Arabidopsis thaliana: one gene and its partners. The protein of the gene in region 2 interacts with the protein of the main gene of each other region in a pairwise test. Each region holds a gene or a part of one and is shown on either strand. Other genes may lie near its edges.

The links.
Region 1: the proteins of PUB14 (region 2) and RK2 interact in a two-hybrid assay, tested with the Arabidopsis thaliana proteins (one study listed by BioGRID).
Region 3: the proteins of PUB14 (region 2) and RK1 interact in a two-hybrid assay, tested with the Arabidopsis thaliana proteins (one study listed by BioGRID).

The regions. Positions count from the first base shown.
Region 1 is NC_003070.9:24,471,123-24,479,048, forward strand, and holds RK2 (receptor kinase 2), read left to right. Parts: upstream 1-1,750; 5' UTR 1,751-2,043; coding exon 2,044-3,334; intron 3,335-3,703; coding exon 3,704-3,838; intron 3,839-3,931; coding exon 3,932-4,122; intron 4,123-4,198; coding exon 4,199-4,409; coding exon of another isoform or gene 4,410-4,414; exon of another isoform or gene 4,415-4,494; coding exon 4,495-4,732; intron 4,733-4,835; coding exon 4,836-4,986; intron 4,987-5,074; coding exon 5,075-5,401; 3' UTR 5,402-5,765; downstream 5,766-7,926. Other genes in the region: RK1 (receptor kinase 1), read left to right, coding at 5-215, 301-538, 642-792, 881-1,207; AT1G65810 (P-loop containing nucleoside triphosphate hydrolases superfamily protein), read right to left, coding at 5,921-6,002, 6,076-6,210, 6,292-6,855, 6,928-7,183, 7,261-7,585, 7,661-7,926.
Region 2 is NC_003074.8:20,318,790-20,325,501, reverse strand, and holds PUB14 (plant U-box 14), read right to left. Parts: upstream 4,150-6,712; 5' UTR 3,979-4,149; coding exon 3,697-3,978; intron 3,451-3,696; coding exon 3,334-3,450; intron 3,246-3,333; coding exon 2,832-3,245; intron 2,740-2,831; coding exon 1,654-2,739; 3' UTR 1,482-1,653; downstream 1-1,481. Other genes in the region: ATVPS33 (Sec1/munc18-like (SM) proteins superfamily), read left to right, coding at 174-254, 619-676, 780-832, 941-1,034, 1,127-1,216; ARA6 (Ras-related small GTP-binding family protein), read right to left, coding at 4,720-4,761, 5,012-5,098, 5,203-5,292, 5,606-5,711, 5,808-5,902, 6,045-6,128, 6,567-6,646. UniProt on the Arabidopsis thaliana protein: Functions as an E3 ubiquitin ligase with specific E2 ubiquitin-conjugating enzymes. Undergoes auto-ubiquitination.
Region 3 is NC_003070.9:24,465,578-24,472,972, reverse strand, and holds RK1 (receptor kinase 1), read right to left. Parts: upstream 4,192-7,395; 5' UTR 4,042-4,191; coding exon 2,763-4,041; intron 2,352-2,762; coding exon 2,217-2,351; intron 2,114-2,216; coding exon 1,923-2,113; intron 1,847-1,922; coding exon 1,636-1,846; coding exon of another isoform or gene 1,631-1,635; exon of another isoform or gene 1,551-1,630; coding exon 1,313-1,550; intron 1,210-1,312; coding exon 1,059-1,209; intron 971-1,058; coding exon 644-970; 3' UTR 501-643; downstream 1-500. Other genes in the region: AT1G65780 (P-loop containing nucleoside triphosphate hydrolases superfamily protein), read left to right, coding at 6,085-6,180, 6,272-6,817, 6,893-7,395. UniProt on the Arabidopsis thaliana protein: Involved in the regulation of cellular expansion and differentiation. Mediates subcellular relocalization of PUB9 from nucleus to plasma membrane in a protein-phosphorylation-dependent manner.

The DNA of each region.
Region 1 (7,926 bases), on a different chromosome or scaffold from region 2:
ATAGGGAAGATTACTTGACGGAAAAGAAATTGCGGTAAAGAGACTATCGAAAATGTCCTCACAAGGGACCGATGAGTTCATGAACGAGGTTAGATTAATTGCAAAGCTTCAGCACATAAACCTTGTCCGGCTTCTAGGTTGTTGCGTCGATAAGGGTGAGAAGATGTTGATCTATGAGTACTTGGAGAATTTAAGCCTTGACTCGCATCTCTTTGGTTAGTGACTCAAACAGCTTCTGTTCTAATAATTGAACATTTTTGTGAAAACGTTAACTTGTTGTTGGTTGTGTTGGATGTGTAGACCAAACACGAAGCTCTAACTTAAATTGGCAAAAGAGATTTGATATTATCAATGGTATTGCTAGAGGACTTCTATATCTTCACCAAGATTCACGGTGTAGGATTATCCATAGAGACTTGAAAGCAAGTAACGTATTGCTTGATAAAAATATGACTCCAAAGATCTCGGATTTCGGTATGGCGAGGATCTTTGGACGGGAGGAGACAGAGGCTAATACAAGGAGGGTGGTCGGAACTTAGTAAGCAATCATTCTTCAACAAAACAAAAAAAGAGCTTTTATCTCAAGTCCAAATATTTTCTTAAAAACCTCATAACATATGAGTTTATATTTTGTTATGCAGCGGCTACATGTCTCCAGAATATGCAATGGACGGGATATTCTCGATGAAGTCGGATGTTTTCAGCTTTGGGGTCTTGCTTCTAGAGATTATAAGTGGAAAAAGAAACAAAGGATTCTACAACTCAAACCGTGATCTTAATCTCCTCGGTTTTGTAAGCTAAAAACCTCTTCAATTCGATATTGTTTTGCATTCATAATCTGATTATAACACTAAAGAAATATTACATCCTTTATGCACAGGTGTGGAGGCATTGGAAGGAAGGAAACGAGCTAGAGATTGTAGATCCGATCAACATCGATTCTTTGTCATCAAAGTTCCCGACACATGAAATCTTAAGATGTATACAAATTGGTCTCTTGTGTGTTCAAGAACGAGCCGAAGACAGACCAGTGATGTCCTCGGTAATGGTGATGCTTGGAAGCGAAACTACCGCTATTCCTCAGCCTAAACGTCCTGGATTTTGCATTGGTAGAAGTCCTCTTGAGGCTGATTCTTCTTCAAGTACACAGCGCGACGATGAATGTACAGTGAACCAAATCACTCTCTCGGTCATTGACGCTCGGTAATTTGTAACTTACGGCCCAATCTGTTTACATGCATATCATTTTATAGGTAAGTCTAAATAGATTTTATTACTACATATATGATTCGATATCTTGCTCTATCTAATTTAATTTAGACAAAAGATTCACCACATGTTTCACATGATTTTGATTTAGAGCGAGAATTATAAAAAAAAAACATTTAGACAAAGACAAAAAAATGCAAGATTTGGAGTTGTCACTCCAAGATTTGAAGTTTGAGACCGAAACTCAATTAAGTGGGAATTCAGTAATGATTAATATTCACTTTTTGTACATACTACTGATAATAGACCAATACTGGAAGCGAACATAGGACTTTATGGCTATTACAACAGAGGACTTTATGAAACAAATCGAATATATACCTTAAACTTTTATGAATTCATCGGTGAAGCATTCTCTTGCATATAACATTTAGTATGTCGCCAGCAACATTGAAATTTTGTCTATTCTCGTACACACACACACAAATGGTTGAGGATATTATTTTTTTGGAGTAAACGAAGAAAAGTCAGTTACTAGGAAATTACAAAACCATAATTATCAATTTAACGACTTTTAAGGTCATTGACTCAATTCTATAGTGACATAGTCTATAGATATTTCAAAAGCGAACAAGAAGACCAAGAAAATGTAGCTGAAAATGAAATATTATCAACAATAGAGAGAAATCGTGTAAATGACGTTCACACATTTCAACACCAAACATGTCGTAATCTCCGAAGATAAAAATTCTCAATTATATGTACATAAAATTTTCATAAGAAGAAAATAAAACAGAACACAAGAAAGTGTCCTAGCTAGAGAGAGAGAGAGAGATGAGAAATGTACCAAACTATCATCATTCTTACTTCATATTATTCATCATAATTCTGTTTCTTGCTTTCTCTGTTTATGCAAGCAACTTTTCAGCCACAGAATCTCTCACTATCTCAAGCAACAAAACCATTATATCTCCTAGTCAAATCTTCGAGCTCGGTTTCTTCAATCCCGACTCAAGTTCACGTTGGTATCTCGGCATATGGTACAAGATAATCCCTATAAGAACCTACGTATGGGTTGCAAACAGAGACAATCCTCTCTCTAGTTCCAACGGAACTCTCAAAATATCCGACAATAACCTCGTCATTTTCGATCAGTCCGATAGGCCTGTTTGGTCGACGAATATAACCGGAGGAGATGTGAGATCACCAGTGGCTGCAGAGCTTCTTGATTACGGTAATTTTGTTCTTAGAGACTCCAAAAATAATAAACCAAGTGGATTTTTGTGGCAGAGTTTCGATTTCCCGACAGATACTTTACTATCGGATATGAAAATGGGATGGGATAACAAAAGCGGAGGATTCAACAGAATCTTGAGATCTTGGAAAACCACAGATGATCCGTCAAGCGGAGATTTCTCGACTAAACTCCGAACCAGCGGGTTCCCGGAGTTTTACATATACAACAAAGAGTCCATAACGTACAGGAGCGGTCCATGGCTCGGAAATCGGTTTAGCAGCGTACCGGGGATGAAACCAGTTGATTACATAGACAACAGTTTCACAGAGAATAATCAACAAGTTGTTTACTCATACCGAGTCAACAAAACCAACATTTACTCGATATTAAGCCTAAGCTCCACGGGACTATTACAACGATTAACTTGGATGGAGGCAGCACAGAGTTGGAAACAGTTATGGTACTCACCAAAGGACCTATGTGATAACTACAAAGAGTGTGGGAATTACGGTTATTGCGATGCGAACACTTCACCTATTTGTAATTGTATCAAAGGGTTTGAGCCAATGAATGAGCAAGCGGCTTTGAGAGATGATTCTGTTGGTTGCGTGAGGAAGACGAAGCTAAGCTGTGACGGTAGAGATGGGTTTGTGCGGTTGAAGAAGATGAGACTGCCAGATACTACAGAGACAAGTGTGGACAAAGGAATTGGGTTGAAAGAATGTGAAGAGAGGTGCCTAAAGGGTTGTAATTGTACGGCGTTTGCTAATACGGATATTCGTAATGGCGGTTCAGGTTGTGTGATTTGGTCCGGAGGGCTGTTCGATATCCGAAATTATGCTAAGGGAGGTCAGGATCTTTACGTTAGAGTAGCTGCTGGTGATCTAGGTTAGTTTTTCTTTGCTCTTTTGGTTTTTATTTTATTGTTTAGTTGACTAATAGGTTCTAAGCCAAGGTCCGTAACATAACGGCTTGATCCACTAGGTCCGACCATATAAAGAGTATATGGTCCACAAAGTATCTTGTTGATGTTTGGTCAATTTTTTTAGTTTATTACTTGAAGATATACAAAATACTAGAATAACTTATATATCAAAAGATTAATATGGCTTAAGCTAGTTCCAATACCAAAAAATATATTAATTATTTTGTTTATGTTATTGAATAATATTTTATCAAAAATACGTAAGTACAACAAAGTATACTTTGGAGTTATTATTATGATTGAAGAAAATATATGCCTCGTCTTTATTGCAGAGGACAAGAGAATCAAAAGTAAAAAAATCATAGGTTCGAGTATTGGAGTGAGCATTTTGCTTCTTTTAAGTTTCATCATCTTCCATTTTTGGAAAAGGAAGCAGAAGCGATCAATAACAATTCAAACACCTATTGGTAAATCAACAGCTTTCATTTCCTTTATTTTTACTTCAATTTTTGATAATTAAATGTCTTAATTGTTTTTTTCTGTGTGTCTAAATGAAACAGTTGATCTTGTGAGAAGCCAAGATTCTCTAATGAACGAATTGGTAAAAGCAAGCAGGAGTTACACATCCAAAGAAAACAAAACCGATTATCTAGAGCTCCCATTGATGGAGTGGAAAGCTTTAGCCATGGCAACAAACAATTTTTCGACGGACAATAAGCTTGGACAAGGTGGTTTTGGTATTGTTTACAAGGTAAACATGACTCATAACTTGTTGAAAATCTATCACTGGCAATGGTTTCATTGAATAATCAAATGTGTGGTAATAGGGAATGTTACTTGATGGAAAAGAAATCGCGGTAAAGAGACTATCGAAAATGTCTTCACAAGGGACCGATGAGTTCATGAACGAGGTTAGATTAATTGCAAAGCTTCAGCACATAAACCTTGTCCGGCTTCTAGGTTGTTGCGTCGATAAGGGTGAGAAGATGTTGATCTATGAGTACTTGGAGAATCTAAGCCTTGACTCGCATCTCTTTGGTTAGTGACTCAAACAGCTTCTGTTCTAATAATTGAACATCTTTGTGAAAACGTTAACTTGTTGTTGGTTGTGTTGGATGTGTAGACCAAACACGAAGCTCTAACTTAAATTGGCAAAAGAGATTTGATATTATCAATGGTATTGCTAGAGGACTTCTATATCTTCACCAAGATTCACGGTGTAGGATTATCCATAGAGACTTGAAAGCAAGTAACGTATTGCTTGATAAAAATATGACTCCAAAGATCTCCGATTTTGGGATGGCGAGGATCTTTGGACGGGAGGAGACAGAGGCTAATACAAGGAGGGTGGTCGGAACTTAGTAAGCAATCATTCTTCAACAAAACAAAAAAAGAGCTTTTATCTCAAGTCCAAATATTTTCTTAAAAACCTCATAACATATGAGTTTATATTTTGTTATGCAGCGGCTACATGTCTCCAGAATATGCAATGGACGGGATATTCTCGATGAAGTCGGATGTTTTCAGCTTTGGGGTCTTGCTTCTAGAGATTATAAGTGGAAAAAGAAACAAAGGATTCTACAACTCAAACCGTGATCTTAATCTCCTTGGTTTTGTAAGCTAAATACCTCTTCAATTCGATATTGTTTTGCATTCATAATCTGATTATAACGCTAAAGAAATATTACATCCTTTATGCACAGGTGTGGAGGCATTGGAAGGAAGGAAAAGAGCTAGAGATTGTAGATCCGATCAACATCGATGCTTTGTCATCAGAATTCCCGACACATGAAATCTTAAGATGTATACAAATTGGTCTCTTGTGTGTTCAAGAACGAGCCGAAGACAGACCAGTGATGTCCTCGGTAATGGTGATGCTTGGAAGCGAAACTACGGCTATTCCTCAGCCTAAACGTCCTGGTTTTTGCGTGGGGAGAAGTTCTCTTGAGGTTGATTCTTCGTCAAGTACACAGCGAGACGATGAATGTACAGTGAACCAAGTCACTCTCTCGGTCATTGACGCTCGGTAATATGTAAGATTGTAAGTTATCGACCCACTCTTTTTATATAAAAATATAGACACAGGGCAGTAAGGTCTCCACACTAGGGGCTGATACTTTGCATCAGTCAGTGATACCTTGTGTAACAAGTTTCCTTTGCCTCCATGGAACGTATACAAAAGTTGTATTCAACTTCGTTGTAAATATAATTAAGATAAAAAGAAAAAACCAAAGAGGGTATAAACCCACAAGGATAGCTACAATTTCCGGAGATCCGGATGAGGAGGAAGCATGATACCAAGCTTGAGAATCCTTACAAAATCCCACTACTGCGATAGCATTATATTTATAGTGAAGAAAAATTGTGATCTAAGATGATACACATGTTCAGTGATCACTGATCAATGACCAATTTAAGTATGTCTGACAAATAGCAAAAGATAATAAGAGAAAAGTCACAAAAGGACGCAAAAGAAGCAGACACACAATGTTTTAAAAGACCAAAAGGAATACCAAATTGTCTGCTTTTGACAAAGAAACAGTCAAATTTCACTTAGGATCTTTGGGGTTAGATGTTGAAAGTTGAACCTTTCTTCTAATCTTCCACAGTTTCTTTAGCTTCACTTGTTTCCTGCAAAACAAATAAACAGAGAATATTACTGAAACTGCTTTGAAATCTCAAAGACTCATCAAATAAGCCTTACTTGATAGGTTTAGGACTCACAGTTTCCTCTTCCACAACACTGAGCAACGCAAATGATCTCGAAACATCGCTTACAATATCTTTCTTTGAACAAGAATTGGAATCAACCGGCCATTGCATTGGTACAACTAAATCACTGCATCATTGTGAAAACATAAAAACATAAATTTCTCATGTTTCAGATTAAATTAACACCACAAAAATTTAACTAACTCACCCTTGAGAGCATATGTATCGACACCGACTTATCTTGCCTTTCGTGTATCGCCTGTAATGTTTCTCTAGATGTTCTGTAACACGAGAAACATCAGTAGATGGCAAAACCTGCCAGATCTTCAAAACTTGTACATGTTGATTATTATTCTTGAAAATATCTATCGCCCAAATAAGACTTAAGCCATCATCAAACTCATGTTGTCTCAACAAATTCTCACTTTCAAACTCAACCTCTTGATGAAGCTCTTTCCCATTAGATAACTTCTCCAAAAAGCTCATAACTCTTTTATTAATTTCCGAGTCTACGATCGTTTCCAGAGATTTCAAGAACTCGTAGCTGAGCCAAACCTTCCATATCGAATTCTCAAAAGAAATAAGCTTCTTGTTTTGAAGCTTATTAAGATCATCAAGTGCTGTTGTTGATCTTTCAATACACTGAGCTAATGATTCATCTTCTTCTGCATTATGGAAACAGTTTCGTGCTTTCGCATCATCTACCAACTGTCTCCACACTGATCTATTGTTCGTTAAAGTCGCTTCGTTTCCAAGAATCCATAAGCAATACCTACAAACAAAAAGAGCTAAATCAAGAAACTGAGCATAGCTAAATCAAGAAACAGAGAAAATGTTTACATACCTCGCACGAGTGAGTGCTACATTAGTTCTTTGTTGGTTAGATAAAAAACCAATAGCTCCATTACCGTTAGACCTGACTGTTGAGATTATAATGATATCTTCTTCACCACCTTGAAACCCATCTACAGACCTAACACTCACTGTAAATGTCCCTTCGGTATTATACTTTTCGCCTATCCTTTCTTGGATCGCAAACACTTGAGCTTTGTAAGGTGAAATCACCCCTACGCTTATCGTTCTCCCGGTCTTTCTTGATACTAAAGATTACATAACAAAACAAAAATCAACATCAAACTTTACTTTAAAGACTGATCTGAATCAACATTTTGTTTACCTGAGTAAAGCTTTGAGACTATCTCAGCCACAACAGAGACTTCCACTAGGTTTTTCGAACTATATCCTTCACCAAACTGTTCTCTTCCATAAGCTATGTTGATAAAAGAGTAAGGTCCATACATTTTCTCAGGAAGAAACTTTTTTTCATAACTTCTCAGTCTCACAGAAGGAGCATCCAAAATCTTCATATCGTAAAACTCTCTGTTCGGGAAAATACTAATCGAAGGATGCATTCGGTACTGCATGTTCAGCAACTGTTTATTATGTCCCAACAACACCAATCTTTCGAACAAACTCCTCCCAAGATCAGCCTCTGAAGCAATCTGCACATAACTTATTAAGTAAGCAAAGAGAAGAGAGTGAATATGTGTATAATTAGTTAATATAAGAGAACCAACATTGCTTTTTATCATTGCAGGCAATTGCTTCTCATCACCGATCAAAATCGCATGTTGAAGTCCTCGAAGCTGCAATGGTATCGCTGACTCGCATTCTTTTAACTGAGCAGCTTCATCAATCACAAGAAGCTGTATTGGACTACTCATGTGTAACCTAGCAGAGCTTGATGCTGTGCAAAACAACAGATATGCATTATCTAAGCAGAGTTTTTGAAGTTCGAACTTGGATATAAAATCCGGAAGTTTGATACTCATAGAAATCGATG
Region 2 (6,712 bases):
GATCATCTCCTTTTTCATATGGTACATTTTTTCTTTTATTTTGACATTTAGTGTTTCAATAGTACCTATCTACAGACATCTGATTTGCTAGGCCTTGCACCAACTTTTTTCTAATCATAAAATCAAGTTTTGAAATCAGTTTGAGTTTTGAGGAAAATAAATTTCTTGTGCAGGCCTAACGATATCGCTTATGTCTATTCGGGATATGCTCCTCTTAGCATTCGTCTTATCCAACAAGCTATTCATTCTGGATGGTTAGTACGTTCTTGCTTTCTTAATTACCAAAAAGAAAAAATGTTCTTGCTTTCTTCTAGCCAAAACTTTTGCCTAGGTAGTTTAACACATAGGCTTTTCTGAATAAGTATTAAACTAAGAAGAAAAAGTCGAGAATCTGTTCAGTTTCAATTTGAGAAGCACTTACGTGAAAGGGCTGATAAAAACTCAGCATAAGGAATCCATGTATGAATGAATAGGAGAATTTTTGTCTGCTTCCTTTGAGGCAAGAAAGAAATGCGCAAATAGTAAACAGCAACAACTTTACTATGATAAAGCAATATAACCTAGGTTACGTTCATGATTGATTAGTGTGCTGTATTGATGTCTCAATCTACCTTACAGGCGTCCTATGGAAGACATTTTGAAGCTGTTACCAGGACCCCATCTGGAGACTAAAAGAGTCAGTACACTTTTTCCTTTACCCAATTAGAGAGATAAATGTAACCTCTCTTTTCAACTATTTTTCAATTGCAAATATATCACTATGTCCCTTCTTTGTGCAGAGTGGATTCCCAAGTAGTCCATCAGTTGATTCATTGCACGGAGCTTCAAATGGGTAAGTTTCTCGTTAACAAATTAGTTTTGTACCGCGAAGTAAATTCGATAAAATGATAAATGGAATGATTCTAATGTGTAAGAGGTTTCATCTGGGACATGATTACAGGGTTGCTGATGGAAGACGCTCAATTGTTCTTGTTGTCTTCATTGGAGGTGTAACATTTGCTGAAATCTCTGCTTTACGGTATCTCGCCTCTAAGGTATATATCAAACTTCAAAAGTTTACCATAAAAAAAACACTCTTTTTGTCCGCTGAATCCTCCATTCTTGCTTCTGCATAAAATTTTATCAGGAAGGAATGGCTTATGATTTGATTGTTGCCACAACAAAAATCGTCAACGGCGCAACGTTGATAGAAACATTCATGGAAAAACTAGGCTGATCCGTAAACTGAGCGTTATGTTCATCTTTTCTCTTTCGAGTGTGTTTATTAATTCATTTTTTGTATGTCTTTGTTTATTTTTCTGGATCATTGTGGTTGCAGAGTGAATGGTATGCGTATGTGTATGTGTATATTAAATGGTTGAGATACAGCGTGATTATACAAATTCAATAATGTTTTCTTGGTACAACCTTTCACTTCAACTTCTGCTAGTTATATACGGCTTTACTTCTCCCTAATTCTCAAGCAAATCGAGAGTGTGAAACAGTAAATAATAGGGTTACTTTTACTTTTAAATATCAAATAGATATACACAACTCTGAGTCGAAAATTACATATAACATCATTACATAAGATTCTTATGTCAGACTCAAACCAAAGGTTCCTATACATATAATCTACACTGAAACAAATAACATTCCAAAAGAGCGAGGCTTTCATGGAACAGTAGTTACTGCAACACCTTCGGTTTGCTGAATAAGCTCCAACAAGCTCGCAGCTTTCCTCTTTGCTCTATCAGTGCCATTCTCAGTAAGTTCCTTCAAGGCCACATCTGCACCAACCTCTCTTGCTACATTTAGCCTTTCTATATTCCCAATACATAGATACCAAAGTATTGCTGCAGCATTTTCCCGGTTCCTTGGTGACCCTGTCCTTATAATCTCAACCAAAACCGGGATAGATTCTGCTTCAGCTATCGCTGTTTTCCCTTCTTGGTTAGTTGAAAGAATTGCTAAAATGGCCAGAGCCTCATCCACCATTCCGCCACCTGCATCTTTCAGTAATCTGGTCAGAGGGTCAACAATACCGCCTTTAACCGCCCTTGATTTGTTCCCCTGGTATATGCATAAGTTGAAAATCGCTGTAGCAGCATCTTTTTTGCCTCTTCGGGTTCCTTCCTCAAGCAAGCTTATAAGTGCTTGGATAGCTCCAGCAGCACCTATTGCCACTTTGTTTTCATCTATAACAGATAAACTGAAAAGGGTTGCAGCAGCGTTCTCTCTAGCTTCCATGCTTCCGTTCTTTAGGACTTCTACTATATCCGTTATGGCTCCTGCATCAACAATGGCTCCTTTGTTCCCTTCATTTATGGAAAGATTCAGAAGAGCTGTCACAGAATGTTCCTGAGTCCGAGGATCTGGTGAGGATAGAAGCTCTACAAGGAGTGGTATGGCTCCAGCCTCAGCGATACAAACTCTGTTATCCACGTTCCTCTTGGCTAGTAACCTTAATTCTCCAGCTGCAGCTCTTTGCTGTTCTGTAGTACCGTTGGCCAATTTCTCTAACAAGGAAAGGACAAATGTTCGATCACAATCTGAAGAGCTGCTTCCTCCTATTTTTGTGGTTCTACAGCTCCCTTGATTTTGCGGTAGCTCAATGCCGTTGCTTTCACACCACAAAGCAATGAGACTCTTTAACACATAATTAGGGGTTAATCCAGCATGTAAAAGTGTCTCCTGAGATTTCGGACATGTTTTATGACCAGCATCAAGCCACTTCTGAATTGATGATCTTTCATATGTCTGCAAGGTCGAAAAATTCAGCTATAACAACAAATACACAAGTTTAATAATCAAATTCACTACAATGCACAACGAAACTTGCAAAGCCAGACCTGTCCAGTGGAGACGATAACAGGATCCTTCATCAGTTCAAGTGATATCGGACACCGAAAATACTCTGGTATAACAGGAGAACGATGTCTCGAAACGATTCTGCTGCCAGTGGATGGATCAGGGTCTGAACTTTCCATTGTTACAAAGTCTACCAGGTTTTTAAGAAGTGAAGACATCCTCTCGAAACAGTCATCAGGATCTCCATCATATGAAAGAAAATACTCATGTATCGCATGCGATTCTTTCTTCAGCTCATCAATGGTAGTAAGTTGGAGCTCTTGTGAAAGTCTTTTGAGGATTATAGGGTCAGGATCCATCACATTCTCTGCCATAGCTAGATCATGGCTAAGCTGTAGATCAGACTCCTCCCATCTTTCTTTTGCTCTCTTGAACTGAAAATGCAGAAGCTGAACCTACAAATTCAGAGAGCTTATCATTAGAATTCAGATTTTAATCAACAGAAAAATATAGCCCTCCTTAAATCAATGCATTGAGAAGTACCTGTTCTCTGACTTCCTCTGATACCTCAATCTTCTCATAAGGAATCTGACTTAACGCTGCTTCTATCTCCACTGTCATGTCACGGAACTTCTCCACAAGAGAATCTCTATCGAAAAGCTGCCAGCAGAGAGAACACGAAAAAGGTCTCAACTTCTTGTTATCAGACTCAATTTGATTCATCCCAAAATAAGAGAAACAAGACAAAACCCAAATTCTTGATATTGTTAAAGAAGACAAAGACAAACAACAAAACCCTAAACACCAAAATCTTAAACCCTCGAAGAGAAAACAAAGGAAATTGCCAACTTTTGCCAGCTACCAAAGATATAAATACAAATAAAACAGAGCAAGTAAATGAGTAACCTGAAAAAGCTTGCTTCCTCCATTAACCGATCGAAAAAGCTCAAGACTTGAATCAAGAGCGATTCTCATAGCCTCAAACCCTGTAATCTGATCCTTTTTCAATTCAACATTGACGTCAATCAATTCCTCGAAGAAAGGGCTGAGAAGCGTGATCCTACGAACAAGATCGCCTTGGATCTTCCCAATAAAACCCCTTGAAGATGAAAACCCTGATATTTCTTTAACGGAGTCAACGAGTCGACTCATTAGCTCCTCGTGGGAACAACAATTCGTTAATCCCATCCCTCAGATTTTACTGTTCCAGAGGGCTTCAAAAGGGTTTTAACGAAACCAAGACGAGGAAGAAGAAACCCAAAAAACCAAGAGGAGGAACAGAAATGCTATGGAACGAAATAGTCTTCTCATCAACGTGACAATAAACACCTATTTGGACATGAAAAGTCTCATTTTGTCCATTTTCAGACCAATCATAATTTTTTCTATTTTATTTTGCCGTTAAATTTTAATATTTAAACATTGCATTTAGATTTTCATATTTATTTATTGCCTCAACTATAAATTTATGATATTAAGGTTGACCAATACAAATATATAAAGTTTTTAAGTTTGTATTTGCATCTGAAATCATCAAAAGTCAAATCCTTTGTATAATGGATTTCTCTACCTGTTTGTTAGTCTCTTTGAAATTGTCAAATAATTTCTTGATTTAGGTTTTGTTAGAATTGGCTGCAATAGTCTCTCCCACAAACTATACATGCATTGAATCATTTGAATGAAGCTTTACTCTTCTCTACTTCTGATGAATCCCACTAAAATATGTACTGATGATCCATTGCTTGATATAACTTGGGTTTCCACTTTTGAGGTTCGTAATATCCCCAGTTTCAAACTCAAATCTTCACATTATACAACACACTTGACTTAACAGATAGAGAAATATTGTTTTGAAACATTACATTAAAAAGTATGGAAAGATTAGTAGTCTGAAGACATGGCTGAAGATGAGATGATTCAACACTCCAATCATGACGAAGGAGCAGGACGAGGTAGCCTCTTGCCAATTTCCTATCAGACATGTGTACACTACAACAAGTTAAAATCTCATATACTTCGTATTAATCCATCTTTCTGCATCCAAAACTATTATCCTCCACAAACTACAAGAAATTAAATCTCATATCTAGCTGCATATCACTGCCTATCACTTTTCCATCCTCCAATTCCAAAGCAATGAAAGAAACGGATAATAAGATCTCAATAAATGCAGAGGACAAGAAAATCGATCATAAATCAGAGGCAAGAAAGAAGTGCACACCTCAAACAGTTGATTTATGTTATCGGCTGTCTTGGCTGACGTCTCAATGAAGAACATGCCGTTCTTCTCTGCAAGCTCCATTCCATCCTGTTAAGAAATTGAAAATGTGATACCACTGAAGAAGCAAGGACAATGAAAGTGACAACAAAATGCGCTACGGAATCTAGATGAAGACGTTTACGCAAACTCACCTCAGTAGGTACTTCTCTTTTTTCATGTAGATCAGCTTTGTTACCAACCAGAGCCATAACAATATCTGGGCTTCCATGCTTTTGCAGTTCCTGTTAGATTTATGGGCAGGGGTAAAACAATAGCACTAGATTCAATATAATGTTGATATCTTTCCTGCACGGAGTTGTGCCAAATGGCTTCATGGTAGCAACGAGTGCAAATTAATGGAACAAAAATGTCAGAGAAGTAAACCAGTTGCCCAACTAAATGATACCCATTATATACACAGACAGGAGTGCTGTTGGCTATATGACTGTCTGTAACTCTAATTTTCAGTCCTGGTAAAGATATAGCTCGGAAGCTATTGCACGAATCCTAGAAACATGAACGAAATGGAACCTTTTGAACCCCCTGAAAACATACCTTAACCCAATACTGTGCTTTCTTGAACGATTCAGGGCTTGTTATATCATACACAATAACAGCAACTCCAGCTCCACGGTAGTATAGTGGTGCAAGAGCAGAATACCTAAAAATAAAGTGAATGCAGGTTAAATCCTAGTAAGTTTGCAAAGCGTTTATCTAATAAAATAAGCAATACAAATCTGCATGAAGGGTTTAATACCTCTCCTGTCCTGCTGTATCCCATATTTCAAACTTCACTGTGGTAGAGTCTTGCAATGCTATAGTTTGGGACAAGAACGAGGCTCCAACAGTTACCTGATACATAGCTAGTAGTCTTGAGATCTAGTGGCAGATAAGTATACTCTAATAGTCTAATATTCACTCACATCAGAGCATGGTGTTCTAAAAAGGTGTCAGATGGTCAATAAAGACAATTAGATAACAAGGCTTTACTTACCTTAGATGTAGCGTCAAACTGACCACGTACAAATCGAAGGACAATACAACTTTTACCAACACCAGAGTCTCCTAATAGAACTAACTGCAATCAAGTGAATCCAAAAGTTAGTGGTATGTCTTACGCAAAGTTGAAACCAATTATACCACACTTGGCAAAATACTGCTGAGCAACAAGAAAATAAAAGGTGAAAGAAAAGGAATCATCTCCTTAACAATAGAAAAAGAGTTTCAAAAGTAGCTTGCAAAGCAAAACCGTCAATTATTAAGAACAAAGTTGAGGTTTTGCTACTACCATTCTATAAAGAGTGTATGTTTCTTCAAAAGCGCTTCACTAGGCTTATCACATCTTACAACATGCGTGGATTAAAATGTGAACAATCATATATAATGCAAGACCACAGATCACAAAAGCATGAACTTTCTAATAAGCTATTAGAAATTGCAGGAATCAGTGAAGAAACAAAGCAATCTCAACGAGATCAACATTCTTAAACGAGACTAAAAACTAAAAAAAAAAAACCTTCACACGTAGATTTTTGGCATCAGCTGGAACAGCATTCTCTGAATTGCTAAGACCACTTAAAGTTCCAGAGTTCCTATCTGCTTCACAAAACACACAAATCACCAACAATCAATTCGGTTTCTCCAATTCTCCACCAGAAAACC
Region 3 (7,395 bases), on a different chromosome or scaffold from region 2:
GGTCTTCTTGTTCGCTTTTGAAATATCTATAGACTATGTCACTATAGAATTGAGTCAATGACCTTAAAAGTCGTTAAATTGATAATTATGGTTTTGTAATTTCCTAGTAACTGACTTTTCTTCGTTTACTCCAAAAAAATAATATCCTCAACCATTTGTGTGTGTGTGTACGAGAATAGACAAAATTTCAATGTTGCTGGCGACATACTAAATGTTATATGCAAGAGAATGCTTCACCGATGAATTCATAAAAGTTTAAGGTATATATTCGATTTGTTTCATAAAGTCCTCTGTTGTAATAGCCATAAAGTCCTATGTTCGCTTCCAGTATTGGTCTATTATCAGTAGTATGTACAAAAAGTGAATATTAATCATTACTGAATTCCCACTTAATTGAGTTTCGGTCTCAAACTTCAAATCTTGGAGTGACAACTCCAAATCTTGCATTTTTTTGTCTTTGTCTAAATGTTTTTTTTTTATAATTCTCGCTCTAAATCAAAATCATGTGAAACATGTGGTGAATCTTTTGTCTAAATTAAATTAGATAGAGCAAGATATCGAATCATATATGTAGTAATAAAATCTATTTAGACTTACCTATAAAATGATATGCATGTAAACAGATTGGGCCGTAAGTTACAAATTACCGAGCGTCAATGACCGAGAGAGTGATTTGGTTCACTGTACATTCATCGTCGCGCTGTGTACTTGAAGAAGAATCAGCCTCAAGAGGACTTCTACCAATGCAAAATCCAGGACGTTTAGGCTGAGGAATAGCGGTAGTTTCGCTTCCAAGCATCACCATTACCGAGGACATCACTGGTCTGTCTTCGGCTCGTTCTTGAACACACAAGAGACCAATTTGTATACATCTTAAGATTTCATGTGTCGGGAACTTTGATGACAAAGAATCGATGTTGATCGGATCTACAATCTCTAGCTCGTTTCCTTCCTTCCAATGCCTCCACACCTGTGCATAAAGGATGTAATATTTCTTTAGTGTTATAATCAGATTATGAATGCAAAACAATATCGAATTGAAGAGGTTTTTAGCTTACAAAACCGAGGAGATTAAGATCACGGTTTGAGTTGTAGAATCCTTTGTTTCTTTTTCCACTTATAATCTCTAGAAGCAAGACCCCAAAGCTGAAAACATCCGACTTCATCGAGAATATCCCGTCCATTGCATATTCTGGAGACATGTAGCCGCTGCATAACAAAATATAAACTCATATGTTATGAGGTTTTTAAGAAAATATTTGGACTTGAGATAAAAGCTCTTTTTTTGTTTTGTTGAAGAATGATTGCTTACTAAGTTCCGACCACCCTCCTTGTATTAGCCTCTGTCTCCTCCCGTCCAAAGATCCTCGCCATACCGAAATCCGAGATCTTTGGAGTCATATTTTTATCAAGCAATACGTTACTTGCTTTCAAGTCTCTATGGATAATCCTACACCGTGAATCTTGGTGAAGATATAGAAGTCCTCTAGCAATACCATTGATAATATCAAATCTCTTTTGCCAATTTAAGTTAGAGCTTCGTGTTTGGTCTACACATCCAACACAACCAACAACAAGTTAACGTTTTCACAAAAATGTTCAATTATTAGAACAGAAGCTGTTTGAGTCACTAACCAAAGAGATGCGAGTCAAGGCTTAAATTCTCCAAGTACTCATAGATCAACATCTTCTCACCCTTATCGACGCAACAACCTAGAAGCCGGACAAGGTTTATGTGCTGAAGCTTTGCAATTAATCTAACCTCGTTCATGAACTCATCGGTCCCTTGTGAGGACATTTTCGATAGTCTCTTTACCGCAATTTCTTTTCCGTCAAGTAATCTTCCCTATTACCACACATGTGATTATACAATGAAACCATGTGCTGTGGTAGATTTTCAATATGTTTTGAATCACTTTTACCTTGTAAACAATTCCGAATCCACCTTGTCCAAGCTTGTTGTCGTTAGAAAAATTGTTTGTTGCCGTGGCAAGAGCTTCCAACTCCAACAATGGAAGCTCTAGGTACTCACTTTTTTTTTCTTTGGATGTGTAACCCCTCCTAGATACTACCACATCGTTGATTAGCGAGTCTTGGCTTCTCACTTGATCAACTGTTTCATTCAGGCGTTAAAAAAAAAAAAAACAATCAAGACATTTGATTATCAAAATTTATTGACAAAAATAAAGGAAATGAAAGCTAATGATTTATTTTACCATTAGGTGTTTGAATTGTTATTGATCGCTTCTGCTTCCTTTTCCAAAAATGGAAGATGACAAAACTTAAAAGAAGCAAAATGCTCACTCCAATACTCGAACCTATAATTTTTTCATTTTTGATTCTCTTGTCCTCTGCAATAAAAACGAGGCATATATTTACTTCTATACGAAAAATATCCTTTGTTGTACGTTTGATTAAAAAAAATTAATACGAAAAATAAACAAAATAATTAATTTAACTTAAACAAAAATTCTTTTTGGTATAATGGTATTGGATCTAGCTAAACTCTTATTAATCTTTTGATCTCTAATTAAAAACAGATGACAAAAAAAAAAAACTAAACAAATTGACCAAACATCAAGAATGTACTTTGTTGACCAAAGCCTCTATAGATTAGGGAGTTTGAACTTTGCTTCGAGAGGGACAATATTACATGACTTGGTCCGCAGATTGGGAAGATATATTGACTTTGGGTCATAACTTTTTAATCAAAACAAAAAGTAAGAACCACTTTAGTAAATGCAAATAAGAAAGAAACTAACCGAGTTCAGCAGCGGCTAGTCTAACGTAAAGATCCTGACCTCCCTTAGCATAATTTCGCATATCCAAAATCTCTCTGGTCCAAATCACACAACCAGACCCGCCATTGCGAATATCCGCATTAGCGAACGCAGTGCAATTACAATCTTCTAGACACCTTTCTTTACATACTTTCAACCCAATTTCTCTGTCCACAATTGTCGCCGTGGTATCTGGCAATTTCATCCTCTTCAACCGGGTAAAACCATCTCTACCGTCACAGCTCAGCCTCGTCTTCCTCATGCAACCAGCGGAGCCATCTCTCAAGTCCCACGCTTGCTCATTCACTGGCTTAAACCCTTTGATACAATAACAATTTGGTAAACTGTTCGAGTCGCAATAACCGAAATTCCCGCACACTTTGTAGTTATCGCATAGGTCCTTCGGTGAGTACCATAGTTGCTTCCAACTCTGTGTTGTCTCAAACCAAGTCAATCGTTGTAATAAACCCGCAGAGTTTAAGTATAATCTCGAGTATAAGTTTGTTTTGTTGATTCGGTATGAGTAAGTCACTTCCTCCTTACTTGCTGTGAAATTGTAAACCATGTAATCAACTTGAATTGTCCCTGGTACGCTGCTAAAACGCATTCCATTCCATGGACCGCTGCGGTATAGTATCGACTCCTTGCTGCATATGTAAAACTCAGGGAACTCGCTGGTTTCGAGTTTTGTCGAAAACTCACCGCTTGATGGATCATCTGTTGTTTTCCAGGATCTCAAGATCCTGTTGAATCCGGTTTTCTGATCCCATCCCAATTTCATCTCCGCAAGTAAAGTATCTGTCGGAAAATCGAAACTCTGCCATAGAAGTCTGTTATTGGAGTCTCTGAGCAAGAAATTACCGTTATCAAGAAGCTCTGCAGCCACTGGTGATCTCACATCTCCTCCGGTTATATTCGTCGACCAAACAGGCCTATCGGACTGATCGAAAATGACGAGGTTATTGCCGGATATTTTGAGAGTTCCGTTGGAGCTAGAGAGAGGATTGTCTCTGTTTGCAACCCATACGTAGGTTCTTATAGGGATTATCTTGTACCATATGCCGAGATACCAACGCGAACTTGATGCGGGATTGAAGAAACCGAGCTCGAAGATTTGACTAGGAGATATAATGGTTTTGTTGCTTGAGATAGTGAGAGATTCTGTGGCTGAAAGAGTGTTTGGAGAAACAGAGAAAGCAAGAAACAGAATTAAAATGAGGAAAATGAAGAAAGAATGGTGGTAGTTTGGTACACTTCTCATCTCTCTCTAGGACAGTTTCTCGTGTTCTGTTTTCTTTCTTCTTGAGGGAATTTTATGAGAATTTGAGAATTTTTATCTTCGGAGATTCATATTATTGTTGATGTGTGCCGTTATTTACACGATTACTCTGTATATTACATTGTTGATGATATTTCATTTTCGGCTGTCTTTTCTTGGTTTTCTTGGTTTTCTTGGTCTTCTTGTTCGCATTTGAAATATCTATAGACTCTGTCACTATAGAGTTGACCTAGCAAATGACAAGAAAATAACTCGTTAGATAGACATTTACTTATCAGTGTTTTTGTAATTTTCTTAGTAACTGACCTTTCTTCGTTTACGCAAAAAAGAAACAAATCTCGTCAACACTCCTTATTTGTGTGTGTGTGTGGCCAGGCCTATGCGTGTCTCAGAGAGATATAAAACTAATTTGTGTTTTTCTCGTTATAAATAATCTTTTTTTTTTGGTTTTCTTTCCTTTCCTACGAATATCAATTCATGAAAGAAATTAACTTACACCACCAAGCTTCAACTATTTCATTCGCTAGACAAGTAAATCATTAACCTTAGACTACAAAATGACATTTGTTTGGCAGAGCTTCGTATTCGTAGTGCTGTGTGTACTGGCCATCGCATCATGACCGGTTCAATTCTATCATGGGTTCTAGAACAAAATTGTTTTTTGGCTGCCCTTATAAATTTCTTTTAAAGATTTTACATTATTTAAAAAAAATTGTATGACAGTTCTAATAAAATTTAGTTATTAAAAACAAAAGCAATACACAAAATATTTATGGGCCCTTCTGTTTTATTATTTATAAAATTTAGTTATAAAATTTATTATTTATTACAAATAATGAGACTTGTTACATAAACGATTTTACAACGTACAATTCCTTTAAAGTCACCAAAATATTGTCAATAAATATTAGGTGCAATCATAGGTTGTTGTTATTCTTGATTTGTTTTGTATGATTCTTACTTGTTCAGATCGTATAAACTCATCAATACCACTTGAAGGAGTTATCAATATTTTATTTCCATGCTTTATATTTTTAGAACTTTATCTTTTTATTTTTGCATAGAATTGAGCCATCTCATAACATTTGCTCTTAATTGATGCACTCTCTCTTTAAATGAATCAAGAAATTGTTAACTGCTATATTACCTTCAACATTTTTTTCTAATTCATATATAATTTTGTATTATTGTGTAAAATTTTGTCTTTATAATATTATTTGACATAGATTTTATTTTATGAAAATTTTGTCAATACAAATAATTATTATTAATGTTGAAGACTATGCAAATGCAAAAAAAAATAGAAATAGATTTTAGAATATACTAAATTCTATTGCTTTCTTCTTCTCTAGCTTCTCTCTAAAACATCCACGAACACATCCTCTTTTTTTAAATTAACATTATTGTCATAGCCTTATAGGACTATCTAGTCATGTTTAGCTTATGGCGTAGATAGGCTAGATTGCGAAAGCGTGTAAACCGGTTAAATACGAAACGTAATTACTTTACATAGTAGACCCGTAAGTAAACAAATAACTCAAGAAAGCCCCAAAATTTTACCATTTTAGTTAATTACTTCTTCTCCTCCTTTCCCTCCAAATCCTTACTCATCCATGTCCTTCTAAAAGAAACCTCTGTTCCTGTCTCCCAAAACCAAACCCTTCTTCGTCTCGAAGTAATCAAACTCTGACAACAACAACTCGAATTCAAAGTAAGCGGCTAAAATTTCATTGCATCATCTTCAAATTTCGTTGCCACACGCTCTAATGTTCAAGCCAACGTTAGAATTTAGGGTTTTTCATTGCGAATCTCAAAATCCTAAGACGTTGTTTACCAAAAAGAACAAAGAAGAAAAAACCTTACTTTACCTTTCAATGATCAATGGTTCTCGTAAAAATAGTTCCTTTTGCTTCTCTGTTATAGCCAAAAGTGTAAAGTTCGTACCTTTGAGGGTTCACTTGTTTAATGGGTTTTGTTGCGTTAATCTTTCAGAGTACGAAATCGAGTTTGGTAACTTTAATATAAATGCCGAGAATGCGTATTGAAGGAAGAGATTTAGTCGATCTGGTGCTCTCATGGTCTCTTGACGAAGTTCTCAATGTTGATCTTTATAAAGGACAGGTTCTGTTTTACTTTCTTGTGTTCTCTGTCCCATTTGAGTAAAGAGAAGCTTCCTAGAGAGTAATTTTGTGTGTTTGATTGCTTATAACAGGTGGAGAAGATACCTATGGAGTTTGAATCAACCGGAGACTACTTCAAGACCTTTATTCCTCCGCTTATCGAAGAAACACATGCCGCTTTATTGTCGAGTATGAGGAAGTTGTGGCAAGCACCTGTGGTTGAAATAAGCTACATTATGCAAACTGCGGAATATAAGCTTCCTAATGACTTGTTCTATAAAGTGCGTTTGAGTGGAATAAGTAATGAGGCTAGTACAAAGTTGATGCCTAGAGATCTTATCTCGCTAACAGATCAAAGACCAAACCATGTTGATGGCTTCAATATTTCCAGTGAACCTTATATAGTTGCTTTAGTGTGTAAGGTAGATCCAGATAGGCCTAATGATGTAACTATCTTGGCTTCAAAACCTCTTTTCGTTGAGGATGGAAGGAGGAAGAAGAATGAGAAGAAAGAACGCCTTTTCGGTATTCATCTCGTCAATTTAACTACTAATATCCGTATCTGGAATGCATTGCATCCTGGTGATGAAGGTGTGAACTTGAATCTTATCTCAAGAGTCCTTCGAAGAAACAGTGAGGTAAAAGATATTGATAAACTCTGTAATAGCTTTCGATGTTTGTAGTCATATCATTTTTGGCTTCTGCTTGTGTAGGATGAAGGATTTTGCATTCAGTGTTTACAAGAAGGAAGTGATGGTCTTGCTCCTCGTCGTTTTCTCAAGCTGAATCCTTCACAAGAAGATGCAATACTGAATTGTTTGGATGTTAGAAGATGCTACCACGCGAATACCGTCAGACTTATTTGGGGACCACCAGGGACAGGGAAGACAAAGACAACAAGTGTGTTGTTGTTCACATTACTGAATGCAAAATGTAGAACCTTGACATGTGGTCCAACGAATGTTTCTGTTCTTGAAGTGGCGTCGAGAGTTTTGAAACTAGTCTCTGGATCATTGAAGATTGGTAACTATGGTCTTGGAGATGTAGTTTTGTTTGGGAATGATGAGAGGATGAAGATTAAAGATAGGAAAGATCTTGTTAACATCTTCATTGATGAACGTGTTGATAAGCTTTACCCATGTTTTATGCCTTTTTACGGGTGGAAAGCTACTATCGATGGCATGATACGTTTACTTGAGGACCCGAAAGGACAGTA